3 linked regions of the Caenorhabditis elegans genome follow. The protein of the gene in region 1 purifies or fractionates together with the protein of each later gene. This does not show direct contact. Each region holds a gene or a part of one and is shown in the gene's direction. Other genes may lie near its edges. The genes, in order: T04A8.18, D1086.3 and gfi-3.

What was found.
Region 2: the proteins of T04A8.18 (region 1) and D1086.3 fractionate together in Caenorhabditis elegans (co-fractionation; one large-scale study listed by BioGRID). This does not show direct contact.
Region 3: the proteins of T04A8.18 (region 1) and gfi-3 fractionate together in Caenorhabditis elegans (co-fractionation; one large-scale study listed by BioGRID). This does not show direct contact.

What each region holds. Positions count from the first base shown.
Region 1 is NC_003281.10:4,705,169-4,716,555, forward strand, and holds T04A8.18 (F-box domain-containing protein), read left to right. Parts: upstream 1-4,040; 5' UTR 4,041-4,079; coding exon 4,080-4,169; intron 4,170-4,881; coding exon 4,882-5,028; intron 5,029-5,447; coding exon 5,448-5,669; intron 5,670-5,718; coding exon 5,719-6,016; intron 6,017-6,653; coding exon 6,654-6,891; intron 6,892-6,935; coding exon 6,936-7,094; intron 7,095-7,139; coding exon 7,140-7,359; 3' UTR 7,360-7,451; downstream 7,452-11,387. Other genes in the region: mrpl-16 (Large ribosomal subunit protein uL16m), read left to right, coding at 1-139; pgap-2 (Post-GPI attachment to proteins factor 2), read left to right, coding at 351-391, 440-810, 856-962, 1,349-1,621; T04A8.13 (G-patch domain-containing protein), read left to right, coding at 1,986-2,078, 2,564-3,104, 3,153-3,214; him-18 (SAP domain-containing protein), read right to left, coding at 7,452-7,604, 7,653-7,930, 8,023-9,085, 9,131-9,464, 9,512-9,604, 9,649-9,769, 9,821-9,876, 9,951-10,009; emb-5 (Suppressor of Ty 6 homolog), read right to left, coding at 10,419-10,609, 10,662-11,387.
Region 2 is NC_003283.11:14,085,006-14,094,486, forward strand, and holds D1086.3 (T20D4.11-like domain-containing protein), read left to right. Parts: upstream 1-7,786; 5' UTR 7,787-7,877; coding exon 7,878-8,021; intron 8,022-8,188; coding exon 8,189-8,281; intron 8,282-8,326; coding exon 8,327-8,611; intron 8,612-8,745; coding exon 8,746-8,808; 3' UTR 8,809-8,981; downstream 8,982-9,481. Other genes in the region: D1086.7 (CW domain-containing protein), read left to right, coding at 1-118, 177-284, 332-379; D1086.18 (T20D4.11-like domain-containing protein), read left to right, coding at 1,193-1,411, 1,608-1,790, 1,957-2,064, 2,112-2,147; D1086.19 (uncharacterized protein), read left to right, coding at 3,346-3,699; D1086.5 (T20D4.11-like domain-containing protein), read right to left, coding at 3,946-4,101, 4,157-4,264, 4,309-4,485, 5,005-5,109, 5,161-5,292; him-5 (High Incidence of Males (increased X chromosome loss)), read left to right, coding at 5,876-5,921, 6,106-6,204, 6,292-6,422, 6,468-6,696, 6,746-6,838, 7,065-7,156, 7,253-7,321; D1086.8 (T20D4.11-like domain-containing protein), read left to right, coding at 9,218-9,352.
Region 3 is NC_003284.9:14,475,387-14,487,515, forward strand, and holds gfi-3 (Protein gfi-3), read left to right. Parts: upstream 1-5,185; 5' UTR 5,186-5,187; coding exon 5,188-5,298; intron 5,299-5,348; coding exon 5,349-5,449; intron 5,450-5,499; coding exon 5,500-5,622; intron 5,623-5,811; coding exon 5,812-6,001; intron 6,002-6,050; coding exon 6,051-6,142; intron 6,143-6,184; coding exon 6,185-6,281; intron 6,282-6,625; coding exon 6,626-6,804; intron 6,805-6,863; coding exon 6,864-6,980; intron 6,981-7,025; coding exon 7,026-7,168; intron 7,169-7,231; coding exon 7,232-7,295; intron 7,296-7,349; coding exon 7,350-7,481; intron 7,482-7,527; coding exon 7,528-7,638; intron 7,639-7,684; coding exon 7,685-7,799; intron 7,800-7,890; coding exon 7,891-8,135; intron 8,136-8,186; coding exon 8,187-8,427; intron 8,428-8,744; coding exon 8,745-9,086; 3' UTR 9,087-9,316; downstream 9,317-12,129. Other genes in the region: M163.5 (DUF4806 domain-containing protein), read left to right, coding at 195-305, 358-468, 511-729, 773-981, 1,032-1,124; M163.11 (ShKT domain-containing protein), read left to right, coding at 3,992-4,065, 4,125-4,511, 4,556-4,723, 4,774-4,870; M163.8 (ShKT domain-containing protein), read left to right, coding at 10,035-10,114, 10,174-10,507. UniProt on the Caenorhabditis elegans protein: Probable component of the anaphase promoting complex/cyclosome (APC/C), a cell cycle-regulated E3 ubiquitin ligase that controls progression through mitosis and the G1 phase of the cell cycle.

The sequences.
Region 1 (11,387 bases):
AAGACGTAAAAAGGCTGAAGAAGAACGTGCGATGAACAAAAATGGATTTAATTGGGGTAAAGTCATCAAATACAACATGCAGAATTGTAACAGTTGGCTTTCAAGCTACGATGTCGCCTGGAAAGGAAAATATCGATAGTCCCCAAGAATTCTCATGGAAATTTTTTTAGAAATTGTAGTCTTGTTTTTATTTTTTTGAACTTTTTTGTTGTTACTATGAAGATTCTCCTTAACCTAAATATTCAAAGAGTATTATATTTATGCAAAAAGCTTGATTGCGCAGTCTAACACTGTATCTAGATAATTTTCAATTTATTTTTAAAACTAAATATTTCAAGTCAGCCGATTGGATGGCATTTGGAGACGATGATATTCTTTCAATCCCATTCAAGTGAGTTTTATGCACACTTTTATCTTCAATTTAATGTTTTTCTTCCAGGTATTTCGTTATCTGTATCGGAGGTCTACCATCTTCAGCACTTTTAATATGTGTTATATTATCTCTTCTACTGCACTTTGATCAGGCAACATCTACACATTGTGAAGTTGCCAACTGGTTACCATCCATATCAGCTGCAGTCTCAACGTATACACCTGAAAAGTATATTTGGAGAATTCTAATCGGATTGCATATTGGACCCCGATTGGTAGTTGCAATTGCATTCAGAAACTTTTTATTGGGATCTCCTCTACGACCTCTTACTGGACATAAAAGGCTTCGGTTTTTGTGCAATTTGGCTTGCTTTCTCAATCTTCTAGAGAATTTCTTCCTTCTGGCATTAACATCGATTTCATCAAGTGAAGATCACTGTAAGAACTAAAATGTATGAAATAGTTAACTATTTTTAAATTCAGCTCTTCATGCTAAATGCTTCGGTGGATTTGCTATTTGTTCGATTATATACATGCTTTTGAGCACATGGCTTTTCAATGAAACTGGAAGGAGAACTGCAACAAATTTGGTAAGTTTGCTCACATAATCTTGAAAATTAAAGAGATTAGTAAATAAAAAAGTAAATATTATCTAGACACGAGTAGTTTCGCCATAAATACAGTACTCGACACGCCTTTTTTTCTGTAAAATACAAACAAAAGATGGATCGATGAAAATTCTACAGCAAAAAGGTTTGAAGCTACAGTAATCTTCATAGGCGCACATCAGTTTGTATTAAAGACAAAAATGTCGTGTCCGGTCACCGTAGTTTTGGCAAAATCTGGCGTCTTGAATAACAATTTACGAAAAAAACCTTTATCCCCCAAGTCTAACTATTTTCATAAATTTTTATTTATTCTCCAAAACTTGTTATCTGTGAGAAATTAATTTAGAAAATTAATACTGAAATTGCAGGGTCAACGTTCGCACGAATATAAAATCCTGGGAGCTGCTATTTTCGTTCTATGCTTTTTCCTTGGAGCATATCTTTATTGGAGGCATAACACGTACTGCGAGCCAGGAATTTACACGCTCTTCGCACTTGTCGAGTACTCTGCCGTTTTATCAAACATTTTCTTCCATTGTACTCTATATTATGACTTCCATGGCAAAAATATTGTGTTAACCTCATCGTTTGGAGGCGGACACTACAACCTTCTGCCAACTCAAATCGATAAGGATACGTAACAATTGATGGGTCCTGATGTGATGACAGTTTTATTGCATGATATAATAATATATATTTATTTATTCCAATATTTATTGTTTCGAAAAGCTTCTAATTTTTCGGTTTGCTTCGGGTTTTAAAAATATGTTTCACTTGCATTTTCTCATATAAATGGTTTTCAAAAATATTTGTTTTCACACTGAAATTTAGAAGCAAATAGCCTTACCGTGGCATTCTAGTCTTCACGCGACACCCTAGTTTACAATATGCAAAAATTGCTCCCTCCTTCGTCATATGAATCACTTCTACATTTGAATCAATTTCTCGAAAATTGTAACGGAATCGAATCGTTTGCCAAGTTTACCAGAAAGTGGCCACTATAAGATGAACGATAAGAAAACTGAGAACCTGGGAAAGACCAAGTCAGGAAAGCAAATTATGAAACCTGGATACGATAAGAAAGAAGGTCTTGGTATGGTAAGTATAACTCTCGGCACACGGGCGCCTTTATCATCAAATAATGGAAGAACCGAAATGCGTCCTTCTAACACGGCCATGTGTCAATTTACGCGGCTCGTGTATTCCTCGAGGAAAAGCTGCACATGACTGTATTTGAACTTCACACACTTTCAAGTTGATTTTTTTAATATAAGTTTTTGTATACATATTTAGTCTGGAAACGTTTGTCTCGGTGACCATGTCGTTTTTTAATACATGGCCGTGGCCGCGAAACAGAAAACTCGGCCACCTTCATGAAATGGTTATGAAGCATTTTCTGGAAAATCGGTTTTGCAACACTACCTAATAATATAACTTTCAACACACGTTCATAGAAGAAAATTCGAGTATCCTCATTCGCCAGCTTGAAAAATGTGTCGTTATGAAAGAGCAAACTCGGCCACCGATTTTCGCGGCCACGCTGCAAATGCCCCCGCTACCACAGGAATGTTAAAAATTTTCAGGATCAAAAGGAAATTGTTGGAGATGACAAGAAAGACAAGGAGGCTCGAAAAAGGGAGAGAAAGTTACAAGATGAGTTTGCTGAATTGAAGAAGGACGAAGAAAAGGACAAAGAAGAGGCGGAAAAAGAAAAGAATGAAAAGGAAAAGAAAGAGGAAGAGAAGAAAGAAGACGGACATGAAAAGAAAGAAGACAAGAAAGAGGATAAGAAAGAGAATGAGAATGATGAGAAAAAGGAAAAAAGTAAGGATGACAAGAAAGAAGAAAGCAAAGAGGATAAAAAGGAAAAGACAAAAACCGAGGATAATGAGGGAAAGAATGAGGAGAAGAAAAAAGAAAAGAAAGAAGAAAAGAAAGATGAAAAGGAGAAAAAGGAGAAGACAGAGGATGATAAAGAGAAAGAAAAGGAGAAGACGAAAGAAGAGAAAGTCAAAGAAGATCCGAAGAAGGATGATAAAAGTGGTGTGGATACTATCAAGAAAGAAGGATCAACTGCGCCAGCATCAACTGCTTTGGTCCCACCTCCTCCACGTCAGAATATTCGTAAGTGGTCCTGTTACAAAGAACTATGAGAATAAGATTTTTTTTCAGCGCCTCCAACACCACGTCGTCCGCCTCCAAAAAAGAAGAACGCGTGTTGCGTCGTGCTTTGATGGCAACTCGTATAATAGTACTGTCCGGGGTCTAATGAAGAGTTTTAATTTGTAAAAATTATTTTGACAATGCCCAGTGTTCTGCAATATATGATTTTTTTTCTCAATTAATGGGAGTGTTGTTAAAAATTCCAAGGATTCAATTATATAATCGACTACATTCTACTTTGAATAAAAACAATACTCGGAAGTTTGCGTCTATGTAAGCAAACGTGTTTTGAAAAGTTTCCATGGAGATTGGAGGCACATAATTTTTAGAATCATTCATATAAACTTGCTTCTTTCGACATTTTCCAATTATTCCACAATCCTGAATCAGGAACCAATTGCACTATTTAGTTAACTGCTTTAAACGTTTAAAATTATCCAACAAAAAATCGTTTTAATAAGTTGTTCCAAAAACATTTTACATGATCACATCACTAGATTTTCCTCCGATCTATACATCCATAGATAAAGTCAGTCAAGACATCACTGGTTTATCAATAAAAAAATATGCAAATGACTCCCTAATCACCAAACATTTGAAGGATATATCTACATTTCAAGAGACATCGTTTCCAGTTTCCGTACTTCTCAGAATTCGTTTCCCATGGCACTTTGCCATTCTTTTCCTCTTCTCCTTCTCTCCACATTCCAAATCGATGTTCTTCTTCTTCTTCTCGTGTGTGAGTGCTCCGTTGAGCTTCAACTCCGCCCACATATTTCTCGTTTGCTCTAGTAGTCTAGTACGTCTTCACATTTCTCTGTTTTTGCCCATTTTCTCTTCTTTTCCAGAGAAAAAAGCCTCCACGCTCAACACATCCAGAATTTTTGTTCGATTTTTAATGAAACTCGTGAGTTTTTGCAGAAAATCCGTGGAGCAATGTCGTTGAGCAAGCAGGAACATCCAGATGATCGTATTTCGGCTCTAGACTTTCTTGGAGGACATCTCAAAATTGGAGTTACTAAACCAGTAAGTAGCTTATAGTTGGTTGAGGCAATGTGTGCTTTACTAATAGGAAAATAACCAGTTCTAACAAACTCCAAACTAGTTTTGAATTATTCCATCAGAGCTTCTGTGTAATCATGGAAATTTCGAGCTACCTATGCCTTGTAGGCTCATAGCTAGGTATTCTTGTGCCTGCTTGTAGGAAGCATTGTGATTATTCAAAAGCTCAAATCTTTACGACCAAATTGTTTTTCAGGAATTTTCGAAATAAATAAATGTTTAAACTTGGATTTTTAGAACATCACCCCCCCCCCCCCCATGGTGGCAAAATGACCAAATGTCATTGTAAAAATTAATTTCAAAAGGGTAAAATGAAAGTTGGCAAAAAGTTTAAATAACATTAAAAAGATTTCAGTTTTTAATTTTTTTTGGTATATTTTGAACAAATCTCAATTAGCGATAAATACTCTACTATTATGTGTGAAACTATAATTGACTTTATTTATTAAATGACACAAAGAAACATTCCAAAACATCACTTCAAAGTTTGAAAAACATAGAGACCACGTGATATGTAAAGCTTTATCAGAAAATAGGATAATTTTAAATTAATTAGTAACAATTCGAACACGGAATCAAAAAACACAAAAACTATGTTCCCATGGAAATCTTTTTCTGATGTCATTGTGTTCTGCTTTATTCATTTTTCATCCAAAGTATCAGTTTCAAATTTCAGCGTCCCCAAATACGTTTTGATTTGTCGAAACGTCATGTGGATTTTGGATTCAACATCAAGCAGTTCTTCACGACTCGAATCGGAAAACCAAAAGAGTTGAATAATGAGAAGTTGGCGGTGATTCAGGAAGTAATTGAAGAAGAACAGGTTGGTAAAATCTCACAGCTAGAGCTTCTAGGGGTACGCCTTCAAGCTAAGCGTAGGTCGCCTTTAAGGAAGGCAGGTGGGTAGGCACTCTTGTACCTACGTGGGAGGGTGTTTGCTCCCGTAATATATTTAACACCCTAAAACTGAAGAGGTGTCCGATTTGGATCTAGAATGATATGTTTCTCATTAAAACTTCCTCTCGTTCTTTATTGAAAAGCGAGAGGAAAAGGAGGGAGAAAAGAAGATGAAAAAAATGTACATTCGACTAAATTTATGGCTTGAGAAATGAGATTCATTTTGAAGTGGCAATGGGGATACGGTAGCTCGCCAAGGTCGTAAATTCCAGTGAAGTGGATTTTCTTGATTCTATTTATAAACTTTCCTAATTTTTTTTCATCTAAATAAATTTCAAATTTCAGTTTCCATGGCTCGATCTTCCAGTTGGACTTCGCGAGCAAATCATTCACAAAATGCCTTTAAAATCAAGAATCAGCCTGGCAGCCACATCTAAAGGAGAACGATATCTTGTACAGAATATGAAAGTGGAATGCAAACTTTTTGTCATGGATGATGTGAGCCGTCGTACTTCAAATCTTCTTCGTTATCCAGATCTTCATTGGAGAGTTTTCTCAAGACCTGGTGTAAGTTCTTCCATAGGTAAAACAATAGGAAAACATTATATATTTTCAGAAAAGATACTTTTTGAACTTCATCTGCGATTGGCAGCACGATATTGCAATTTGCTTCTGCGAGGAGCGTCGAACGCTTCTTGGAAGATCAGGCGCTACAAAAGTGTACTGGTTAACCCCGGGAGGAAAAATCAAGAAGACTGTAATTCCAAATATAAATGCATTTGATCTTGCCGTGCAAACCGCCAAAGACTTTTTCAAAATTATCACTGAGGACTGTAAGAAATCGTCTCTCGCTTTGCCCGGGTGGCCAGAAAAAGTTTTTGAGATTCCGGAGCTTCAGAAGAGCTTCATTATCGGTAAGTTGTTGAGTTTTTTTCTTACTCGGTTCTATATTAACACCGAAAACTAAAAAGAGGTTCGGTTGAGAAATGAAACCAAAGCCAAGATATAGGCGGAGCCTATTATCGACTTTTCTTGCATCCGACTTTTTCGACACATTTCTTTAAGTTTTCTTGATATGCCCATGCGTATTTGAATCAGTTTATATCAAACAAAATTCAATTATATCCAGTTTCGCGGTTTTTGCAATAGAATTACGATACCGGATCTCGAAACGACTGAAATTTTGCAGCTACCGTAACCATAAGTTTTATGAATTTCCCCTTTTCCATAGTTTCCCTCAACGTTTCGAAATGTTTGACACAAACGCTTGTAACTTTTTTGGAACTTTTTCAACACAAGAACTATTAAAAAATACTGGAGGAGTTGAGAATTGAGAACAACTTTCGGATACTGTAGCTGCAATGTTTCGATCGTTTCGAGACCAGGTACCGTACTGGTTCCTCAAAAAGTGTCAAATTTCGTTGGTTTTTTTTTCACAGAACAAGACTAGGATCACACAAACTTGAAACTGCTATATATAATGAAAACTAATTCAATCAACTTTATTTCTCTCTCAAAGTTTTAAAACAGTAATAATTTGGAAAATTACAGGATCCAGCTATGATGACGTTGAGTCAATCCATAAAACATATGATTTCTTCCAACCATATTCATTTGATGTCTATATGCATAAAACCGCTATAAAGTATCTTTGGCCGTTCTCATTGCTTACTGTAGCTCGTCACGGACTGATTGATTGGTTCAAGATGCGTGCAAACGATCGTTCTCTTTGTGATCAAATGCTTGATAAGGATCTTCGAATTCTCATTCTTCATGACTCTTTTGTTAGGTGAATTATAGATTTTTAATTTTTATAAATTTCTGAATTTCCAGCCAAGAAAGAATGCGTGACTATATTGACAAATGGGCACACGGTGGTGTTTCCGATAAGTTCTGTTGGTGGGCTATAAGTACTCATCTCGAATTGGAAGTAGAAGAAGTGATTGATCGACTAATTGTGGAGTTTGTTGAAGCTAAATATGGACCTAAATTGTTAGAATTTAGACATTCTAAAGGTTTTATATTTCTTATTTTCAGCTGTATTGCTGAAGAGAACCCGAAAAAGCCGCAACCAGTGCAAACTGTAAAAATGGTAAGATATGTAGTGTACAGCGCCTTGGATCCAACAAAGATTGCACATTTGTACATTCGGGATAAAATGGTACTCTTCGCGAATACTGGATGTGCTCCAAGAATTGACGAATATGGATTAATTACTTACAGAACTAGATCAGGAATTAACGAAACTCAATTCTAATTTTTTTTTGTATTTTTTGAATTTCTCTGATTTTCCGTGAAAACATATTATATTCCTAATTATCTCTTCATAAAATTGCATGGAAAAAATTGTTATAGTCTTCTTTTGTAGCCGCCACGTGCTCTTCCCGTCTTCTGTGGAAGTTGGTACGTGATTTTCAGCATTTCCAGTAATTTCACCAGTTTTCCTTTTCCAATCCTTCCAAGTGGGCCGTCAGCTTTCTCTAGACGAATCAACATTTCTTCCTGAAAATTTACAATAAACAAAGAGTTGTGGAAACTTTGGAATCTAACCAAGGATACAGGTTGGAGTGAGAGAATGTGCTCATGTAAAACTGTATTCTGATCACTTCGAAGCCATGTTAAAAATGCCAATTTCAATGCACTCAAGTCATGTTTGCCACTGGTACTGGAAGCTGACATATCATCATCATCTTCTTCATCGTCTCCAACGTCATCACCGCAAATTTTTCCAACTTCTCGCTCGTCATTTGATATATTCAATGTTTTATCACCATCATTATCTTCATCCAGATCATCGGAAACATTGGATACATTTTTGGAAGTTTCATCTGAAACTATTATATAATATTAATATCCTTCTAAAGCAACTAGATAAAATGTCTAGCAATTTTTCAATTTAATTGAAAATGAATAAACTCACCAGAAATAGCATTCTTGACTCCTTGCTTTTTAGGAGAAACTTTCTTCGGCGATGCAATCATTCTTTCACTTAATGTCTTCGTCTTGATTGTTTTCCTTCCACCCTTTCCTCCTTGTTCCGAAACCTTTTCTAAACTTGCAGATCTGACAAGCGGACGAATTGTAGGTGTTCCTGAGCAAATTTCTGGATGTAATGTGATATATGCTTTCTTCAGAATCTGAATCATCGCTTTCTTTCCTTTTGGCCGCATCCCGATCTCTTTCATTCGTTCTTTTAATTCTGCTTCTTCCATTGAATCGAATGCAGGCATTGGAGTTATATCATTGGTCTTCAGAATTTTGACATGGGATCCGAAGACAGCTTTTGAGGTAATGTTGCGGATTGGAGTAATGACATTGGATGTAGTTGGAAGATTTGTAGACGGTTGATTGCTCCATTCATCGAATGAATCCATTGTCACATTAGTAGTTGGTTTCTGTGGAGTAGAGTGTACTGATTCATGTGGTTTATCTTCCATGATTTGTTCTGCATCATCTTCCACATTTTCGACAGCTTTTCCGAATCCAAAGAAAGGATCATCAGATGTGAAGTAGTTCACAGATTTATCAAGTTCGATTGGGTCGCTATGAGACGCAGTTGGCTCTATTTCTACAGGATCAGCTACTACAGAATCTATCTTAGCTTCAGGCTCTACCACGTCCTCAACATCATCGACTTTCTCAAGATCTTCCTCCTTATCATTTTTCACAATCAAGTCTAATCCTACAGGTCCATACTTCGAAGCCAAATCCCTCACACCATCCTTATCATCATCATTCCATTCGATATTTGCAGTGAATACAAATGAAATCCATGCTTTCACAACTTCTTTTGTGTGCTCGACTTGAATATTTTCAGATTTAGGGTTCAGTCTGATAAGTGATGTCCGATGTTTCAAGATCATTGTCTGACATTTTACACGATGACCATCACTGCAGGTAATGAAAATGTGAGTTGGTAATTGTTCAGAATTGTCATCAAGAACTTTTTGCATGTCAGATGAGAGTTGTTCGTATCGGGAAATCTGAAAAAGTGATTTTTTTTAAATTATAATAAACTAGAAAATTACTTTTTCAATCATTTTCTTCATTTGAAACGCATGCTCAGTCACTCCTTCCTCTCGTTTCTTTTGATTTTTGATAGATTTACTGTGAAACTCGTCAATAAATCTTGAATGAAGTGTCGTAAGAACCTCACATTGACACTTTTTCGGTGCCAATTCCACAACTGCAAACGATCGAGGACGCTTCCGTTTTCGGTTTTCCTCATCATCCTCAGCGATTCGTGCAAATTTCACGTTGTTCTTCGATAGCTCCCATGATTTTGGAAGTTCCTGTGGTTTTTCGAAAGGTTTTTCAAATAGATGAGTCTTTGAAGATGGCTTCTCATAAACTTGATCATCTCTGAAATATGTTTTTGCATCACAGAATATCCTTCTACTGAAACTAACTTTTCTATGGTTTCGGTGAGTGTTTTCGATTTTCTTGTAGTTTCCTTCTCCTTCTCTGATTGTTTCGCTTTGCAAACTTTTACATGAATATCTCTAAAATTTGAACAGTGAGAAGAAACACAAATAATATTTCAAACCTTCTGGAATTCATCCAAAGAGTCATATCTCGTGCACACGTCGCACATTTTACAGGTTTCTTAGCCGGTGCTTCTTCATCATCGTCGCTCAGTGTGATCTCTTCGAAAGGAGAAGGAACATCTCAAAAAGTAAATTAATTGATTTAATTGGGAAATTTGATTTGAAACTTACTTTTGTCAGATTCATTTCTTACAATACTCTGCACACTTCCAAGTTTTTGAGGACGCCTAGAAAAAAAGACAGATATTTTTTAATTTACGTTTAGGTTAAATAGATACGACAGAAACAAAAACCTTACTACCTTGGCGCGGATGAGATCGAGTTTTGGGACAGTGCCTTTTTTAGTGATGAATCATTCATATGAGTAGAATCTAGAATACTTTTTTTTCTTCTAAAACTGAATTTGCAATTCTTATTCCAATATCAATTGTGATCAACGCATTCTACGTTTTTTCGTGATGATTTAGCAGTGATTCTGATTACGAAATTTATTGAGTAAACAACAAAAATGGTACTTGAATACAGAAAGAGCTCATGAACAGTATGACTGCTTGAATAAATATTTTGATAGATATATAAAAATGTTTGAAAAGTAAAAATCGAGGATGAACGGATTACCGAAATCAAAACAAATTATGTGGGATTAAGACAGATGGATGTTGTATTCTATAAATTAAAATTAGATCATCGTTGATAGACTGGAACAAAGGAAACAGGATTGAATGTGTCTGATAAGGTGTGGGTAATAAAGAGAATAAGATCAGGGTTTTCAGTGATAGCCGACGAATTGAGGAGGATAGTATGGAGCTGCTGGAGGAGCACCAACTCGATACTGTGGAGCCGGGATCGCAGATCGCCTTAACTCGATGGGAGGCTCGTGGAAATGGCGTTTGAACCAAGCCATCATTCGATCTAGCGTATCAAAGTTTTGATGTCGGAATCGGACTCCATGTGGGACAACTGTAAACAAAAATAGTTGAAAACTTTGTTCGTATCTCTTTTCGAAACTCACTTTTGAAATATTCATGTCGAATCCGTTCTGTATTATCGAACATATAAGAAATACAGAATTGGCATGGCTGTCTGTAGGATGCACTGAATACGTACGGAGATCGTCCCAGCTCTCGTTTCTTCTCTCGTACAAATTGCTCGACTGCTTCTGTTTCTTCGCATGTTCCATTTGGGAAGAAGTACTTGTGAGTTGTTATCTCGTGAGAGATCTGTATCATCGGTTGAACGAATCGAGCAATCAACTCATCAAGATCCTCGAAATCTTCTCCGCCGACTGAGAGTTGCCGACCAATGGAGAAAACTTGATCCTTTGCGGATTCTTTGACAAAGAAATTGTGATAGACGCGGTCACAAATCTTCCATGTCACAGAAAGACCAGAATCTTTATTAGCCGATGGACGAATAATACACTCAGACCAATCCATTTCATCCAACATTTTCGTAGCAGCTTCGTAGGATACATTATGGAAATTTGGATGCGCAATTACTCGCTTCACACGTGTATTTGCTTCTGTCTTCTTTTTCGATTCACTCTTCATCAGTTCCAAATCAGCTTGGTATTGATGCTCATCCCAGTACTGATCACGTTGAGATAAATCATCTTCTTTCAGATCCGAACTCTTACAACTTAGGAATAGTGAGAATCTCTCCTTGTCCAACTTGAGAACTTTGAAGTAATATGGCTGATTTATCTTGACTCGGGTTAATGGATTGTCTACGTGACTTG
Region 2 (9,481 bases), on another chromosome or scaffold:
AGTTGATTTCAGTGCTACCCCACCTCCGTCAGTTGTGACCGAAGAGTGCAAGACAATATTACAACAAAAGGACGCAATTCTGATGATTAATCTAATTAATCCAGTCGAATGGGACATGGTGAGAGTTTTATCAGTCTATGAACTGAATGGAAATTCAAAAGCTAACTTACCTTCAGCCAATTGATATGATTTTATGTATCAATCTCAATGCTAAAACTATTCCGTTGGGGTTGGAAGATTTAGCAACACTTTGTGGACAGCAGCAATCAGATGATTTGAGAGGGGTAACAATAAACTAAATATTCTACAAGAATGTTTTATTTGTTTTCAGTACATCGATAACCGAAGAAAGATTCATCACTGTGATCAGTACCCATAAGGCTTATTTTAGAATATTGGACACACTCAGTCTGTCTTGTTGTAATTTACTCATTGCGTTCTATCAAAAAAGAAGTTTTGAACCAAACTAATGATTAATAAAACGCATATTTAAGACTTTTAGTGCAATATACCAATCATTCGGTGTGTGGAAAAACGAACCCATAAACATAAACTTTAAGTAAAAATACTTTAAAAAAGAGTGGATGTGGCGAATTTACTGAAGCTGAAGTTTGGACTGCAAAACTAACATTCATAACATTGTAGAAACTGAAAAATTCGGTAAAGCGGGAGAAAAACCAACTCAAATTGAGCAGAAGGGACTGAATTTTAAATTCGTGCGCAAATGAATCGTAGACAACCACACGATCCCCATTGGTTCAAAATAAAAACATTGATTTAAATATTTCGAACATTTATTCGTTTTTTTTACAGTGACAAGTCTCACAACAAGGTCTCGTCTCGGCAGGTCCAAACAGCGGTGGGTCTCGCAACGATTGGTTTCTAGAAGATCTGAACACCAATTTTTTGTTGGGAATTTGAATTTTCAGTCGGTTATTAAATTCGATTTCCGATCAATACTTTTGCCATTCGGAAAGTAAAACAGCCATGTTCAGTAAATATTTTCTCTTTGAATTCTCAAAATAAGTTACAAGAATGTGTGTAGAAATCGAAAAGAGTTCATGTTCGCCTGAGCCTTTAAACAAATATTGATCCAGTTTTACCTTTGCGCAACCCCTCATCACGTTTGCCACAGAAGGTTTTGATTTTTATTGACTGTTTTTATTTCAAAAAATAAAGAATTTTTTCAGACATGTTGATTCGTGCTTTCAAATCAATAGTTTTAATAAGCCTTCCAAATTTTGCTTTATTAATCCCGGATAACTGCTTTAGTTCTGAAATAAGAAACGAAGCGAGGGACTGTACAAATAGACTTTCTCCAATGCTTGATAATCTGAAATCGGTGCTAGCTGGAACCCGAAAATCCTCAAATTTAATCAAGGATATCACTGATTTCTGTGATTTCTCATTAGTGAGTTTTTCTGTTTGTCAAATCAAAACTGGTGCCTGAAAATTCTTAAATTTTTTTTCTGCTAAAACTTTTGCTGAGAAATTCAATATATTGAAGCAAAAACTGCAAAATAAATTTTTAATATTTGTTCTAAATGTTCCAGTTATATTTGGTCATTATGTATACGCTACTCTACTTTTAACAATTGAATTTTCAGAAATGCTACAAGACACTCCAATTGTGTTCTGGAATTGATCCCAATCTAATTACCAATCTCGATGGTGTATGTGATATGTACAGCTTTAAAGCTAAAAAATTCGATGGATGCTACCAAAAAATGACTACAAGTATTGAAGACAATTGTGTCTACAGCTTCTTCATGACACCGGTGTATATAAATGTGGGTTCGCTAAATAATTTTTTAAACAATTTTGAAACCAAAAACCATTAGAGGAAATTATATATTTCTCTAAATATCTTCATTCAAATTAAAGAAAAAACGTTACTTGTTTTACTTTCAATTTTTGACTCAAAAAATTCGAAAGAAAACAAAGCTTTTATTCCAGATTCCTGACAAAAAGCAACGGTGTGAGACATTAAAATCAAATGGGAAATGTGTTCAGAAAAAGACAGAATCAGTTTGTTCCAAAAATTACTCCAAGGAATTTCATGATGTGAGTTTTTGTTTTTAAGATATTTAATTGATTGAAAAAGCTTTCAGCAACTAGACGATCAACTCAAGAGATTTCTTTGTTAATCTGATTTATTCTTATGTAATAAAGTTATCTTATCATTTCTCGGCTTTTCTTTCTGTAGTGATACGGTAGTGGTAAAATCAAGGTTACTTACTGTAGGATTACCGAAAGATTACTGTAGTAGTATAATTCAATTTTTGTAGGAAAACTGTATGATTCCTGTAGAAAAACTAAAAACTAAGTTTGTTTTAAATGTAATAGTAACGTATTACTGTAGGATAACTGTAAATATACGACATGACTAGTTTTGAAGCTGAATAAACTTATAAACTGTAACGATAGGTTCTGAAAAATACTTTGAATTTTTTAAATAATTCTGAAAAATTCTTGAAGCTCTTGAACGCTTCGAAAAATTTCTAGGAATCAATAGAATCGTTTTTAAAACTTGTATAAATTGCTGAAAATTCAATGGGGACTTATCAAACGTTTAAGAGATTGCTGAAAAATTTCTAGCAATGGCTAGAAATTTTGGACGTTTCTGAAAAAGTTTGAAAATTTAGAGAAATTGCTTCAAAACATCGAAGAAGGTTTTGGAGCCAGTAAGCTGTTGATAGGTTTGCTGATTGAATGTTCAAATATCCCTTTTTTAAAAATCGATTTACTATTAGAGATAAGATGAAACTCCAAATTGGCAAGAACCTCCAAACGCTTACACAAATCTAATCGATATTCTCCGATCTACCAGAAATAAAGTAATTCTCAGGCACTTGGGAAATGTCACTGTAACAAGTTGGAATTTCGCCGCTATATTGTGGTGTCCACTGTGACAATGAAAATGACATGAGGTTGTAAAACTATGTGCTCATCTACAGTCTATGCATTTATTAACAGCGTCGGTCTCATTCTTACAGATTTGCCTTTTTTTTTGTCATTGGTCTTTCTGCTACCGTTTTTTTTGTAAGTAACTCATTTTTGTTTTTGTTTAATTGCAGTAAATCTGCAAAAGCAAAGCTATAGTTTTTCAAAACATACCGTAAAATATGCGATTTATTGAAAATAAAGTGACTATCAACTTTCTCAAGAACCTTCATGTTATTTCGTAGATTATTAACGAACCTATCAGTTGGGTTCAAAAAAAACCTGAAAACTGTTTTCGGAAGTTAAACTTTTGTTATATTTGTAAATATCAACTGTAATTAATATTCAAATCTTTTTCACTATGAACCATGTTTCTAACTATATCTATCACAGATCTGAAATATGGATTACGGTCTTGAACTCTCCTCTTCATCCTCTTCATCATCATCGGAAGATGAGGCTATGCCAATGAATTCCTCGATGAAAGTTCACCCAAGAATAATGCTCAATCTGGCAGTTTCAAAGCGCCGGAAGCTTCTCGACATGAAAGAACGCGACTTTCGATGCGAAATTCTTCAGAACTATTTTATTCAGCGACTGACAAGGCACTTACGCGACTGTCGGAACAATAGGATTGCTAGAAAAAGATCGAGAAGTTTCGTGATACGTGATAGTCAAAGCTCAACACTGTCCCGCGATGAGGAACAGAGTGCGCCAAGTTCCAAGGTTACAAAGAAAGCCGACAAGAAAGAGTAAATTTCTTGCTTCTGTGATCCTATAGTTTCTTTCTTAATGCCTGTGTCATTTCTTTAATAAATCTAATAACTCCAAATAGTTTTGTAAAAAACAACAACGTGGAACTACATATAATTAGGTATACATAAATATTTTTTCAATAATCTAGCATCTTGAAGTTTAATGGAATTCTATGTAGCACGAAATTTTTTCAAATTGTTTTATTAAAACGTGCCAAAAAACCATTCGGAAAAAAATGAACTGAAATTAAGCCGAAATTTGTGTTGAATTACTTCCGAAATCCCTTTCAACATCTTCTTTTGTAATTATCCCTCTTTGCATGCTATTATCATCTCCACGAACCCGATCTTTATATCGAAGACGTCCATCGCAAGCACGATTGTAGAGACGAATATTTATGTGCTGTAGCATTATAAGTTAAAGAGATCTGCAGAAATTAATAAAATCAAATTTTCACCTGCTTGTACAGACTCAAAAAATCAGAACCACAATGCTTCCCAACATCTTCGAGAAAGCATTTACTTTTTGTCTGGATGCTCACGCAGTCGACTTTGTCCGGATTTTTCTGAAATTAAACTTACAGAATCAATGCAAAATGCTAAAGAGTACATTTTTGAGATAATCCTTAACACATTCAGAAACTTGATCCGGGGTTTTCTCAATAACTTCCTTCAATGTTTTCTCACAATAATACATTGGTCCTAGATGAAATACGTCATCAATGCACTTGTCCAGTTCCTGATAATTGACAAAATCCATGTAGCATCCCGTATTTTCCATGCAAACCTGAAGGCATTGTGAAAATGTCAAAATGAGATTTCAGCTAAATTTAACTTTTTAAAATTTGAAATTTTGAACCACTTGAAAACATTTTAGAACGATTATTAAGAGCTCTTATTATGAAATTTGGTTGTTTGGAAGTGTTTTGAGTGGAAATCTGGAAATAAAGGTACTTGTGTATTATTTCCCCTCAGTTTTTAAAATAAACTTTTAAATAAAAACGTGTGGTGTTTTTGTATTTTTAGGCTTAGGAAATAACCCTTTCTAAGCCTAAAGAATGAAAATGGACATCACGTTTTATTAAAATGGATAATATTAAAATGAGGGGAAATAATACAGAAGTACCGAAATAAATTTTATTTAGCGGAAATGGAGCACACTGAGCTAGAAAAATATTGTTTTTTAAATTCAAAAAAATATCCAAAACCCCACTTATTTGAAAATTTTATCGTGAGCTGAGATCTCAAGATCTAGCGAATACTTTTACATGCCTGTATTTCCATATGTATTACAAACAAATCTTACAAAATAATCATCACAATGCTTTCTGAGTTCAACAAGACTCATATTTTTGGTCTGTTCCGGATTCCACGCAATTGAATTATGCCTCCAATAATATTTAGCACCTTCCTTAAAATTATTCAGCATTTAAAAAAGCCAAAGACACCCATCAAAACTTACAAATAACCTGCAATACTTTATATTACTACGTCCGGGAAAAAATGAACATTCTGACTTGAAATAGTTCACTCCATTACTTGAAAAAACAGTTGAAATTGGAAAAAGTAAGAGGAATATGTTCTGGATTAACATTCGGAGCTCAAAATGAAAAGAGCAGCAGACAAGCTAGAAGCAAAGTAGAGAGAACTAAGATTGTGGATGTGACGTCAAACGTTTTCAGCGGCAGCTGCTCAGCAAGCAATCAGGTGCCATTTGTCTAGTTGTTCGATTTGGTGGATTAACTACATTTATTACATGGAAACTGTACAAATATTAATTTTTTTTCAGCTGAAAAGTCTGTTATATTCAGTAATTACGGTTTTTTTTTCAAAATTATTCTCTTACAAAATCCTCAAATATGAGCAAATTCGCGGTAATTAATGAACCATTTCCAAAAGACACCATTTTTGTTGCAAAATTAGTTCATTTTGTGTAGAATTCAAAACTTTCCGCAAGTTTAAAACAATGAAAGTCTAAAAAACAGTCTTTCTGTCTTAATATTCGAAAACTACTTCCTAAATCCAATCCAGGCCTGATAAGTTTCTACAAAACAAAGCAAGTCGTTGCGATACCATCTTCTCGTTTTGCGATATGCGCCTTTAAGATCGTACCTTAATAAAGCAAACTGTTTTTCTCCCGAAAAAGCATACTTATCATCTGGTTTTTTTTGCTGAAAATGTCCAGAATTCGTTCTAATAACGACAATATTATAATATTAACAGGTAATTTATTTTTTTAATCTATTATATCTTGCTAAATTTGAATTCGTCAGTAGCTTCAATGCTAAAAGCGGAATAACAATTTAAAAAAACTTTAATAAATGTTTATTTTTGAGGAAAACAACTCTATAAACACCAATTCATTGTTAAACATTACAAATGAACATTTTTTGGGATTTTTTTTCAGATGAACAACGAAAAACAGTTGGTCGCATCGCCGGTCGTTCACAGAACAGAAATACATCGAAAAAAATTGCCGATGGCCCATATTTTTTGCCGAGATACAGTTCGTTTTAATATATTTTATGTATTTTTCTGCAGGAAAGCTTTTACATCAATGTTTTCCAATAAAAAACTAAATAGTTAATTTCAGGAATTCGAGACAATGCAGAGAGATCAGTAGGTGCACGTTTCAAGAGTCTTCCACAAAAAGAACAAGACGAAGTAGTGAATGAAGCTTTTTCGAATCTTCGAGAATATTTGAAAAAGAGGGAACCTTTCTATGTTAGTAATTTTTAAAAACATGGAATTTTACTGATTATTTTCCAGGCAAAGCTCCGGAAAGCTAACTCCAAGTATTCCTCAAAGCCCAAAGAAAGAGAAAAATCTGTCGACTCCAATGACGAAGCTGATAGACGCAATAAGGGAAATAAGAAAACTCAAAAAAATGCGAGTAAGAACTGCCAAATTGAGAAATCGTCGAATAATTCTGGAATTCTCAAAAAAAGTGGATCAGGAATCAGCGTGGCTTCTAAACCAAAAAAATCAGTTGCATTTGGTACGGAAATCCAAGAGAAGTCAATTTTCCAATATATTACAAATTTCAGCACCAGGAGTATACGAAGATTTAAGCACCGACGATGATTTAGAGTTTTTAAATTCTGTGATTGTCAACAGTGATCGTCCAACTTCACAGTGTGGTAAGTAAACTCACATCAACATTAATGAAAGACACGATTTAATTTCGCGAAATTTTGCAATTTTGGCTACAATAATACGGTATTTAGTCTAGACACGACAAACTTGTTTTAAGCACAGGTTTAACGGGTGTGCGCCTTTAAAGATTACTGTAGTTCCGAATTTTTTTCTGCCGAATCTTCATCGAGTTTAGTTTTCCGATTTTCAGATAAATTGTTTTTGTTCCAGATAATCCGGCACGTAGAATGTGTGGAAGACCGCCAACAAAACACAGGGACACTGAACAGTCACAGGAAATCACTGGAAGCAAGAAGCAGAAAGTATGTGGAATTTTTTCAACTTTTTTTGCAAATTTTAATATCCTTATACAACGGAAATTAAATCAATAAAGCTTTATGAAAATGTTAATATTTCAGATTTTTCCGACTCCTCACGAAAAACCTGCCTGGTGGTCATTCCGCATTCCAAAAAAACGCGCTCAATAATTCGTGGTTTAATAATAGTAGTTTTTATATCCCCCCAGTATTATCTGTAAAATAAGATCTCATGTTCCATTTTATTTTGTTTATGTTTGTATCAAATATTCAAGTTAATAAAAAAAAAAATTTATTTATTGCGGCTAGGGGACTCGAGTGCCATGTTTGCACGTAAAGCATAGTGACGAGCGGAACCCTCGAGATGTCCGGACACTCGGGCATATAACTGTCCTCTCGTCAGTGGTATTGCCGCTATTTATAAACGCTCTCAGGGCCTTGCAAAAGACCCAGTGAACAATTTTTGGAGAACCCTGTCCTTTCGAGGTCAGGGTAAATGTTAGATTTCCAGAATCCGAGATAACGAGAATTTCGTTGTTTACAAATCGAACAGAAAGTAGAATTAATTGGTCTCGGAACGTCATCCTTATCACAAACACACCTACAATATCCCGATCCCAACCCTTTTTCATATGTTTTTTTTTCATTTGAATTCATATCAATTGACCTCTAAACTTGGTATATAAAAGCAACGTGTCTGATAAAGAAAAACCGACGAGAAAACAACATGAAATCTATTATCATTTTATCAGTTTTCTTAGTTTGTTCCGCGTTGGCTGCCAGTTCTGATAAGGATACTGAATCAAAAGTGGCCAGATATTTGAAATCCTGTGGAGTTATCACTTCATTGAAGACTACTAAATGTGTTAAGGTGGGTTTTATAAAATTGTTCAAGCAGGCTTCAATTGTCATGATTGCTCATGCAGTTCTTATTTTGGTGGAATTTCAAACATGGAGATTTATCACAGTAGTCCTTTTTTGTTGTACTTGCTGCATTTCGAACTATTTCCGTCATTTTAATAAAAAAAACACTTTTAGAGAAGCGATGAAGTAGATAAGGAGCTCAAAGCTCTCGTAAAGAGCAAAGACAAGGATCTCTCAAAAGTCAAGGCTTCGTGCAAAGACACCATGGTGGGTAACATCAGTGATATTAAAAACTTCTCAAATGTGTTTCAGGAATGCATTAAAGAGCTGAAATGTAAACCACTCGAAGAAGATCACAAGGAGACTCTCGACTTCTGTGGTCGTGCTCTTTTCCAGGACGAGTTCAAGGATTGCAGCAAGAAATTGCAGGCATTGAAGAAAAGTGATAAGGATGCTGCAAAGTGTTTGGAAGATTTTAAATCAGAGACAAAGAAGTCGACAAAGGACACTTGCACATTTTTGAAGGGCTCGAAAGATTGTATCAAGGCTCATATTAAGAAAGAGTGCGGGGATGATAAGTTGCAGGGATGGCAGAAGGTAAGCGGATGATGTCTTAGAAATCGGTTTAGGCTTCGGCGCAGGCCTTAAACTTAGATGCTTAGGCTTAGGCTTAGAGAGCCTCAAACTTTCATTTTCATTTCCACCAACTTTTCTAAATTTCTATTTTTCAGTTTGCTCAAGACTCGTTCAAAGAGAACGAATGCGAGAAGGCAATTGGAGCAAAATGGAACTAACTTCATTAAATGTTCTTCGATTTCTTGTTCCTTGTTACAGTAACCCTGCAAAACTGCAATAATTAATTTAAAAGTCTTTAAAATTCCGGTTGAGTACCCATTCCTCCCTCCTACATTCTTCATTTCTTCAAAGGGTTTCTCTCCAGGTACCAATAAAATTTTTAACGCGGTCATTAGAACAGAAAACAGATAAACTGGAGCAGGCGAAGAGACGCAGGAAAATAGAAAAAAGATGAGACAGAAATGAGATCAGTGAGTGGAAGAATGAATCAAGAAGAAGAAAATATTTGTGTTTCTCTTCGGTGGTTTTTTCATTCAATCTCTCCAATTTTTCTCTTGCTTTGATATCCAATTGATACGAGTCTACGTGGAGCTCACTGAGCAAATCGTAGAAATATTCAGATTTCAGATGCTTCGGGTTCTAACATTGATACTCTTTCTTGTCTCCTTGTCATATGGATTTCTTGAAGAAGCCGAAGGTGTAGACCCTGGGAATCGAGTATGTGATCCAGATGAAGAACGAGCTGCACAGAGCTGTAAAAATGTGAGTCGAATAGATTGAACTGTCCGCTAGAGAGCAGAGCTTTTTCAAAAATGAATAATGAAATCTTGAAAAGCTGTGAGATTTCTCTTCAAAATGATATAGCAACTTGCGTGACTTTGATGTTTAAGC
Region 3 (12,129 bases), on another chromosome or scaffold:
GATCTTTAAGAAATGCGGGAGAAGAGACGCAGGCTTTTCAACAAATTTTCCATGAACAGTGTGCTGACGTCACATTTTTCAGAGTGAAAAATTCCCGCATTTTTTGTAGATAAAACCGGAATGAGACAGCCTGGCAACACGTGTACAAAGAGTTTTGAAAAAGCGTAACACATTTTACCATTTACTTTTTTTAGTTGTGCAGACACCACAATGCAATTTTCCAAAATCACGCGTAACAATGAAATCAGAATATTCCAAAGATGCAATCACGAGTGTCAAAATTCAAGACATAAAAATTAGCGATGGTATAAACAATGTGAAGCTCAATATTAATGTTGAGATCAAATATAATTTCAGATTTGACAACAAAACATTCTTCTAGCAATTCTCCTCATAAGCTTGCTGAAGCTTCGACTTCAAAATCTCCATCTCCGATTTCAGAGTGCTCCCGCCGGAGCAGCTCTTCTGGTTTGCAACAAATTTTGATATTAAAAAGGCAACAACTTTCAGCGTCTACATCGAAGAACTTGGTAGTTGATAAGCATAACCTTGCTGAGAATCTAAAATCGATAGTTTCTCAAGTTGGAGGATCTGAATATACGAGCCACGTTTCCTTGAACAAAATGTTTGAGAACAAAATTGTGGAAATGTTTCATGCGACTATGTTCTCCATGGATCAAATCTACCAAATCGAAACACTGAAGACAAAACGGGAAGTATTAACCGAAGGTATGTATTTTCTAATTTTCAGCAATTTGAAACATTAAATTAGATATCGAAAAGTGGACCATATTGGAATTTGTTGCGCATGTGTCAATGCTTATTGAAGTCTTTACATCTGAGGAAAACTTTCTTCATGTCATGCAAAATCAAACCTTCGTTGAAGCCTTGGAAAACTTTTTTGTTGTCATTAAAAGAAAGAGTGCTGAAATTGTACAACGCAAGCAGAAATACAAATCTCAACTATCGAGAAAACGCCCGGTAATCTTGAATTTGTTTTGTACACAGTGATTTTCGGATTTTCTTTTCAGTTTAACAAGGGCTTCAAACATCGTTCAAAAGAGTTTGGCACGACATATAATTCGAGATGCAATGGGAATGGTGTTATCTCCAGAAAGTTTTGAATTTTTTAAAAGCTGTTTTAAGCTTTGTCTTCGCATATCTTGTAAACATTTGTATTTTTAAATACATTTTCGTATTTAAGAGACAGTTTTTTTGGATGTTTGACAAACCATGTTGCCTTCAGTTTTAGAAATGTTCAATGTAACCATACAAAATCATGTGGGATCATTTTCTTGCTTCAGGTAAAACTTTAAAACGTTCCGAACGCTATTTGGAGTTGCAAATGGTCTATGTCCAAATAAATTTGTGGAAATTGCGAAATACTTCATAACAGAACCAGAGGTTGCGCAATTGCACGAAAAATGTCTGCCGCCTGACTCTCCTTCGGTATATAAACAGCCTACAATCACCTACCCGTGTCTCGGTCCGGCGTCAGTGGGTTATCGTATTTCTCTCCCTTCGGGGAATTTCCCATCGGCATCAACTTGACCGTTGCGTTTTGAAATTTTTGAAAAGACATACAGTGTACTACTGATTAATATAATTTTTTCAGCATTTTGATTGTATAATTTTTTTTATTCTCTGAAACGTTCCAAATACTACTTAGTGTTGCAGAGAGTTTATGGAAATTCATCAATTTTTGAAAATTGCAAAACACAGTTTAACAGAGCTATCTGCCATTGCACGAAAAATGTCTGTCGCCTCACTCTCCCTTGGTATATAAACAGCCTACAATCACCGAAGTATGTATCGGTCCGGCGTCAGTGGGTTATCAAGTTTGCCTCCCTTCGGGGAATTTCCCATCGGCATCAACTTGACAGTTACATTTTGAAAATTTGTATTGAGACAAAAAAGTTGGGCTGACACATTTTTGAACAACAATTGTGAAATGAATAGGAGTACTTCCGTATTATAATTTTACAATTTCTGAAGCGTTGGAAGTACTACGTACTGCAAGTTGCAGAACGCTTATCTAATATTATAGATTTTTGAAAATTGCGAAACACAGTTTAACAGAACTATCTGCCATTGCACGAAAAATGTCTGCCGCCTCACTCTCCCTTGGTATATAAACAGCCTACAATCACCGAAGTATGTATCGGTCCGGCGTCAGTGGGTTATCAAGTTTGCCTCCCTTCGGGAATTTCTCATCGGCACCAACTTGACCGTTGCTTTTGAAATTTTTCTGTAAAACACAATAGTGAATTACAAATAAATCGGACTCTACTCCAGCAGTTTGGTTTTATGGTTTAAAAAACCTGAAACGGAACAAAATGCTACTTGAAGTGATATATACTTTAGGTACAACTTCAAACTTTAACAAGTAATCACCGACTCGTTTGTTGGTGCAGCGTCTGTCAGTTATCATTCTTGACCGTTAATTTTAACATTTCCGGAAAAAATTATGGGATACATTAAAATAACATGATTTTTGTTCACTAGTTTTAAAATTGGAGATATATATTTAAAAATGCGAAATACATTATTTATAAACTAACAGTTCTTACTATAAAATAAAAAGACTCTATGCATCTTTTTCAGAACATTATTTGTTTACGATTACCCATGTATATTACTTTGGTGTTTTTGGGCTATTATTTTTATTATTTGTGCTCATCATTTATTTGTGCTCAGCATATCGGCATTAACTTGACCGTTATTTTTTCAAATTTCGCATTCAGATAAATATCAACCACATTCAGAGTATTGAACAATAACAATATTAATATTTTTACATAACATCACATTTTCTTTTACTGCTTGAAAATCCAAACGGCAGTTCATCTGAAAACAAAACAGTTTAGCCATTCGCATATTATTTTTGTCATAAATAAATTCAATTAGTTATTTAACTCAACTTTAAAAAAAGAAAATTAATTCTCCCTATCTCATATTGCGAAACACATCTCAAACGCCAAACACGCATAAATGTCCGCTGCATTAATTCCTCATAGTATGTAAGCTCCCCGCACTCTGAGCAGTTGTTCAAAAATATTATATATCGGTCCGGCGCCAATAGGTTATCATTCCTATTCCCACTTCAGGGAACTTCCCATTGGCACCAACTTGACTGATATTTTTGAAAACTTTGGAGCAAAATTGAGTTTAAAGAAACCAAAATAAAGTTTTTTAAAGTTAAGATTTGAAGCATACATTATAATAATAGGATATATTTGAAAATTATAATAATAAGAAGTTCAGAAAGACGTAAACGTTGTTTTCAAAAGTACCCATTTTCTGTTTCTAATTTTAAAAAAAGTGAAACAGAATCCATATTAAGCATAAATTTTGCCGCAGATTTACAAAATTGGGTTGTTTCTCATATCGACGATATGATTAATATTGCTGGGTTAAGAAAGTTAAGTTTAAAGGTTTAAATTATCAGGCGAGATGTTTGAACAGAATATCCGAATTCTACAAAAGGATAAGCCCAATGCGGGGCTCGAACCCGCGACAACCAGATTAAGAGTCTGGTGCTCTACCGACTGAGCTAACCGGGCCGCGAAATTTGAAGATGATTGAAAAAAATAAATAGTGAAAAATGATATCGTTATCAAGAAAACGTAGCATGTGGCGTTTGACCTTCATCATTTGCAGACGCAGGTTTGCTGGTGTAATATCAATGGGAAAATGAAATAGTTTTCACCGATTAAAATTTTAACTGTAATAATAATTATTATTGGCTGATTTCATTAAAACATAGTTCAGAAATAAAAATTCATTTGTCTTTTTAAGATCAGCAACTTTATGATTCATATGATCGAGCGCAACTTGTTATAGACCTATGTATTCATTAATAGTTCCTCCTCTAGGTGCCAATGCTTATTAGGGGTCAAAACGTTGTGACAGTTGTTCAAACAGGAAACAGATCGGATAAAAGTTAGCCAGTGAGGGCCCACAGAACATTCAACTTTCAACTCTCACTACCATGAACACCTTCTTCGTTTTAACAATTGTTTTCTTTGTTTCAAGCGCTGAAATGTGCTCCGACTCGGCTTCAAAGTAAGTTACAGATTATTTATTCAGTTTGAAATTTGAAATTTCATTTTTTTTTCTTCCAGCTGCGCGAACTGGGTTGCCAATGGGTTTTGCACCTCTACATTCTACACTACCGCTCAGAAAACCCAATACTGCGCATCAACCTGCTCTTTGTGCTCTGATTCTTCAGATTCTAGCTCTTCATCGTCCACTGCTTCTACAAGTTCTTCTTCGTCCACAGCTGCAACGTCCAGTGATGATTCTTCTTCATCTTCTTCATCATCTTCCAGCTCCGCGTCTTCAACATCTTCTTCAGACACAACAACAGCTGACAGTTCTTCTACTACATCCTCTGATTCTTCAACAACCTCTTCCAATTCTTCATCATCCACTTCATCCTCAGATTCCACATCTGTCGTATCTTCTACATCTTCCTCAACCACTACCACATGTGTAGATTCTTTTTCCACGTAAGACTTGATTATTTGCCACTTGCAAAATAAAAACCTTCTAGATGTACTTCCTGGGCTGCTAATGGATTTTGCACTTCTTCCTTCTACACTACTGCTATCAAAACTCAGTACTGTGCAGCTACCTGCTCTCTGTGCTCTTCTTCCAGTGACTCTTCTTCGTCGAGCTCTACCGCTTCTACATCATCTAGTTGCACAGATTCAGCTTCATCGTAAGATCAATCAATTCTACTGACTAGCCTAAAACAAGTTGAACTTTCAGATGCTCATCTTGGGCGGCCAACGGCTTCTGCACTAACAGCTTCTACACAGATGCTCAACGTGAACTCTACTGTGCTAAAACTTGCGGATTATGCTAATTTCATCGTTCCTCTTTTATTGTAGTTTGTCTCTAGTAAACTGAATGCATATCAAAACCATGTCTTCATAATATCTGTTGTGTGTTGTTTGAGAACGGGCCATACCGATGAGAGAGTGCACAAAATAAGAGAGTTTTCTCTGCTACATGGTGTGTCCTCCCGCCCGCCCCTCCTCCACGAGAAACACGCCAGCAAACCAATAATGCGCCTGCAGCCACCGACCTGCACCGATCCCTCTTCATTTTTTTGAATTTTAGTCGTCTATTTTCTAGTATTACCTTTAAAAAACAAGGTTTTTATATATTTTTTTTCCAGAAATGCAGAAAGCGGCGCCGCGGCCCATCATCAAACGGAGTTATCTCAACTTGGATGCAATTTTCGGCCATGTCTTCTCAAATTTGACAGGAGAGCCAGTGACTCCAACAAAAGTAAGTTTTTTAGTTTAGAAAACCTTCAAAGTACTAAAAATTTACTTAAGATTGCAACGTTCTACCTTCTTCGCATTCTTTTTCAAACACACTTTGGATTCCGTCACAAACGTGCTTACTACAAACCATTTAGCCCCGCCGAAAAAGAACGGTAAGTAGTTTGGAAAAATTTTAAAAAAAGAAACCAAATTCATGTTTTAGAATCTTCCATTGGCTGTATGCATTGATGACGTCAGTCGTGGAGCTTTCTTATAAGGACTTCAGAATTGTCACTCGACTTGCATTTGATGACGGCCGTGAAGTTTGTAAAAACTTTTATGCAGCGTAAGTCAAACGATTTTCATTTTATACAATTAAAAAAACATTATAATTTATTGTAAACTATTATAAAAACTAGTCAAACAATTCGACAATAAATTAAATGCAATAATGTTTCTTAGCTCGATTTTCTGGAGCATTATAAGCATAATCAATAATACAAAACAATCCGCTGGCATCTCTCCATTCTTTCAGTATGGAGAAAATTGGCGCCGGAATGGCGGATGTTACTCTTAACGTTGAAGATGAGTTCTACACCAACAAGCACCCAAAGGATCCGAAATTGCCAGCAAATGACACTGTACATGAAGCTATGGACTTGGCGCGCGGAGACATTATCCAGTTTTCTTCCAATCACTCGTTTATGTACAGATGGATGAAACGAGTATGATTTTTCAATCGAAAAAATTTGTTTCAGTTTGATTATATTTCAGCTCCTGGCACAATACACCAAGTCAACTCCTTCAGAAGTGTTCCAGATAAATGCAGCCATGAAATCATGGGTTTTGTCTGCTGTTGAATCAAAGTAAGTGACGAAGCTTTGCTAAAAATACCGAAACTTTTGCAGATATCATCCCGAGTTCAAGGGAGAGTATCTTCCACACTTCATCGACTGTTCTGTCAGAGCAAGGGATTGGGTTGCTAAGAGCATTTACTTCATTCAGGTGAGATACTATTTGAAACTAAAACTCCCATGCGGTCGCCGAGCCAGCCTCACGTCGTCACCCTCGCCGCATGTACAGTGAAGCGCAGACCTCCGAACGTGTCGGCCGCTTCCAGCCCACCACCTTTTCACACTACGTTGCGCACACACCATGCTACTCATTTCACGCTGAGCTGCGGAACCCCGAACGTGTCGGCCGCTTTGAATGACTACCTCTCGAACTTCATTTCACACACACAGCGGCGCGCGGCGACGGCGTGAGGCCCGGATTTTGCGCCTCACTCAGCTGGGAGCTCTGTTTGAAACTGACAAAAGAAAAGTAATAATGTTTCCATGTTTTTACAGAAGAACCCACGTTTTGCCTTCCAATATAACGAGATGCTTCACTACACCCGGATCGTACAGAAGCGACACCCGGACGTTGTTGAAGGGTTCCTGCTAGAGGCCATTGTGCAAGTTCAATTGAAAGATAGCTCGTCGGCTATTAAGGCAATGAAATCGTTTTTCGAGTTGTCCATGTTTGAGTAAGTGTTATACCGTTATACCGCCACCGAGGTTTAAGAACAAAAAAAATAATTTTCAGACTAAATGAGAACATGGTGCATGCCGCAAAAACGCATCGATTGGCAGTTCCAACTCAAACCCCGTTGATGTATGCACCGATTCTTCAAGCCAGAATTTGCAGAATATTTGGAGACTAGTAAGATATATCAATAAAGAGTACATAAATATTCTCATTTTCCAGCCAAATGGCTCGTCTCCTGCTCCACGAGAGTCTCCAACAAGCCCAGCTCCGAAATGATGAGATTTGCCATCAAATGGCCAACATCGAAATGCACACTGTCGACATATTGGGATGCAGGGCGCTGCTTGAGGATAACAATGAAAGTGAGCTCGTCTATTATTTTTTGAATCAATAAGAACTAAGACAACAACAAATCAAATTTGCAGAAACCGCTAAGCACATTGAAAATGAACGGCGAGTTCAGAGAAAAGCCTTGCTGCACATAGACGAGTAAGTTGGATTATCTACTAGTATAGAGTCATAAAACTAATTAGTACATTTCAGTCTTCACGGACATACGCGATCCGGGCCTTGCTGTCTAAGTTCTGAAGAAGATTTTGAGCTTGTCGCAGAGATGGACTCATATGGAAAAATGCTCATGTTGATGAAGATCATTGCAGAAGGAAACTATAAGCTGTGAGCATTCAATCAGAGACGTCGCTTTAACTTTCCAAATTTACAGGATCTACGACAGAGTTGCGGAAACCGGAATAACGTGTCCAGTCGGTAATGATCTTGGAGAACGAGGACGAAAAGTGGCTGCTTATGGAGCTGCTCTGATATCTAGTAACATGTAAGTAGCTCGTTGCAAATGGCCTAGAAACCATTCTGAATTTCAGGATTCATAATGGAATGTATCATCAAGCAAAGTGCGCCGCAGAAAACATGCTGGCAAACAATTGCAGAACCGATGAAACAGACCCCTTCCAGGCTCCTTTTCAGGCCGAACCTTGGGTAAGTACAAGTTAGAACTGTGACAAATAATAAATTGGTGCAAAATTTATATGTATCTAATGAAATTCAAGTATGATGTATCAATTTTCAGGCAATTGGTGCGGTAAACCTATCTTATTCACAAGCTGGAGTCGGAAACTACGACGCGGCACTAAGAACTATTGAGGAAATGCGACAAAATTATCCGGAAGAACTTTCTTGGCAGTCCAACCGTCACGTTGTCATTTGTGCAGCTGTCATCAACTTTGAAAGATTCTTATTGAAAAATGACTACAAGGCTTGTGCTTCTGAAGTTTTGAATCTCGCAGCACACTCTGAACTAGAATGCAAGCTTCGGTGAGTTGCAATTGAAAGTATTACCTCATTTAATTTCTATAATTTTTTTAGACAAGCTCTTCTCCTCGCCGCAGCCGGAAAAGAACGGGCAAGTGTTGAAGTGTTGGAGGGATTGAACGTTGTGGACATTCGTGGAAGAATTCGAATTCACATGCAAACAGGATGCATTTACACGGCTAGTCAAGAATTTAGAAAAGCTGCAAGAGAATTTGCAGACGCCTTGAGTCTTGCTGAGAACACCACACTGAAGGACATTGTGCCAATGGTCAAGAGAAGACAAGCAACTATGCTGGTAAGCATTTTATGTAAAGAAAAAATTGCATGAATTTTTTTACGCCATCTTGATATTTCACTGAAGAATCTACAAAGTGGAGCACTGTCGTTAGGGTTTTGAATCCGTAAATTTTGCGCTGCACTCCGAAAATTATTTTTTATTCAGCCTTAAAAATTGTTTGAAGTGAGATGTTTGAAAACATAAGGTATTGTATTTTTTATAGATGTCACCAGATATGTCAGACTATACTCGCTTACTAGTTAGATAAAATAAACGTTTTCTGAGAACATCGCATTTATCAAATGAAAAACAATTTTTAGAATCTAAATTTACAGATGTGCCATGGTCAGTATGTCGAATGTCTGAAACTTTTGAAAGAATGCAATGAAGGCATTGAACAGTTTGGATCATTTACCGAGAAGGCGTGCTACTACATGACAGCGGCCAGATGTCATCGATTGCTAGGGAAAGATCCGCGGATGTGGTTGAAAAAATCCCGTGCCCTGGTCCGCAACGGGCAATGGCCGGCGTTTACCAAGCTCGTCCTCTCCGAAATTGCTGCTCTTCATGACGTCAAAGGACTGATGCCTGATGAAAATCGTCTGTCGCAGATTTGTGAGCAATTTGGTAAACTGACTGCTGATTGTCCCGGCCGATGCGAATGGCTCCTCATCTGATGATGTTTCAAACCAATATTCTTGTACACACTTTTAAAGTGCTTCATTATCCAATCCCAAAGACCCCCGTCTGTTCTTACATTCAACGATCTTGTTTCAAAACTCAAACAGGTTTATGAGCTTCACAGTGTATTTTTACGAGTCTTTCTTGCTCTATTTGATTTTGAATTTATGAACTTTTTGTAAAAAAATTGCTTTTGAAAAATTGGAAAAAAAATTGAAAAGGAATGTTTTATTGCAATTTTTTTGATTTTATTTTATTGCAGATACCATTTGTGCAGTTTGAATGCTTCTTACCAAATGTCAGAAAACATATTTCTGGTAGCTAAAATACATTTACAACTGTAGCAAAAACGTGTTGTGCAAGTTTTTTAATAGCAATGAGATGTCTATTTTTTTTTAAATTAAATTGAATCATTATCGAAAGTGATTAATTATAGGAAATTACGAAGAATAGAAAGGATTACTTTGTTATTGGATGTTTTACATGTTCTCATGTAAATTTATTGCTAGCCAAACTTATTTGTTGTTTTAAAGCGTGACCTCATTGAATCAAACGTTTTTTTAAAGATTAGTAAAAAAATTAAAAATTAACCGGCTACTGAAAACCCCACCCCCGCAAAATTCCTATTTTGGGTGAAAATTCCGTATTTGCAGTGAAACAATGCCAACTGAAAGCATCACTCCAGTTACTCATGACAACTCAAATAGGATATGTGTACATAATGATTAATTTTGCTAACTTTCCATATCCGTTATAACAAATGCAAACATCGTTTTTGAAAATGGATACTGTTAGGATCAAACACCTGATGATCCCACCGATTTGGCACTTTAATGGATCAACTAACTTTTTGGAAAAGCTGAACAAACGTAAAACAGTTTTATAAAAGGCATTCTATCAGAACGCATTGTCAGAACACATTCAGTTTTTGAATTAAATCAAAAATGTCATCTACTTCTTTGTGCGTCTTGGCTGTTCTTATCATCTTCTCTACCGTAGAAATGTGCATGGATGTTAACCCAAAGTAAGTAAAAATTCAGCATTTGCAATTTTTTATCACTGCTGGAATTGATAATTTTCCAGCTGCGCTAACTGGGTATCCAACGGATTCTGCACCTCATCATTTTACTCTGATGCTCAAAAAACCGAATACTGCCCTGCGTCCTGTAGGCTTTGTTCGGGTGCTAGTAGCACAACTTCCTCTTCGGCTTCTTCGTCTTCTTCAACCTGCGGGGATAGCAACAGTAATTGTGCAAGCTGGGCTTCAAATGGGTTCTGCAACTCCACTTTCTACACTCCTGCTCAAAAAAGCCAATACTGCGGAGCCACTTGCAACCTTTGTGGTGGCGCTTCTGTGGAAACTTCTTCTGGAGTTGCAGCATCAACCACAGCAGCAACTGCTACCACTTCCGCCTAAATTGAATTATTTTTTGTGATTATTGAATGTAGGTAGCAAGCAATAAAGCATTCATTACTTTTAATACGTTCAATTTGTGGAACAGCAACACATTTAGAATGTTTTTTAATTTATTATTTCGAATTTTAATTCAAAAATAGTTAATATTGACATTACTTTAATTTAAAATTGTTTCATTTCAGAACACGGTCTGAAATTAGCTCATCGCTACTCAAACTCCACATGAAGAAAAAACGTATAAAGGAAAACCAAGACAAAATGTTCAAATTGTTAGTCCAGATATTTGAAACGCACATCAGAGTTTGGCAAAAAGGATAAGCCCAATGCGGGGCTCGAACCCGCGACAACCAGATTAAGAGTCTGGTGCTCTACCGACTGAGCTATTTTTACTTTTAGTTTATGCTTAGTTCATAAAACGCCTTTTTAGGATTGCTTTTTGTACTTTTTTTTAACTTAAGAGTTTGTTGTTAGGTGTTGTTAATAACAGAAATGCTGCCTTAAAATTCAAACCACCTAAATTTGAATTATAGGTATTGCTATCCCTCGATGGTTTTTGGTCCATTCCTACAAAGAACCTTCTTAAGAATCTGAGACTAAGCTCATATTGCGCCATTTCGCTCATTTTACCATGCACAAGTAGACAAAAATACTCTTCTTCCTCTTGGCTAATTACGCAACGAGACCTGTGCAAATAAACGTGGCCACCGACGACGCAACACTCCGTGAACAGGTGCACTTCTCACCTCCTTCCATCTGTTCCGCTCTTATTATTACGCCATCTACAGAGGTGGGGGAAAATGTCGGCGGAGAGAGAAAGGTGCGTTCCCACCTGCTGTGCGATGTCTAGCGCACGCCTCATTTGTTCTGGATGCGTAAGAAGAAGAACGGAAGAAGATGAGGATAAAGAGAAGAGGATAATTAGATGTGCTAATTACTTTGTTTAGTTTCAGCTCTATAGAATTTGAAAACAGGATGTGGGAAGAAATTAAATCTGAAATATTTTTTGTTAAGTAGTTGTGCACCAAAATGTTCCCAATTAAGCAATTTTTTCAGCACAAAAGTAGTTATTCGAATACTTTTAGGACCTTAGGCAATAATAAGTTCTTCCTAAGCCAAATAATACCAAAAAACTTCATTATCTGAACATACTTTGATTTTCAGCTATAAAGAAGTATACTAGTTGCCAAATAGTCTAAAAAGCGGTGATGTCTCTTCAATTCAATTCAACATATTTTGTCTTTTTTTTTGTACTGTGAAACTGAGATAAAAGAGCACTTTGCTTATTCTCAGACATTTTAAAGCATGACTACACCAAATTAGTTATTTTATTAATTTGAGATGTGATTTTAGTTTATTTCTTTAGTTTATGCTCCAGTTGTGTCTCCTGAACCTGAAAATGTCTTGGCAGTAATTTCCTAATCCCATGAAAAATTAATTCGTGAATAATTTTTCAAATATTTTTTTTCTGAAAATTCCAATATCAAAATTCAAAATATACACATTTTTGTCAAAGTCACAAATCTTTCGCACCATTATTTAGTAGCAATTAATTAGCAATCAGTTAACAATCACATTTTCCCAAATAACATATTGCATGTCATTAGCATCGCCCAAATTGCTAT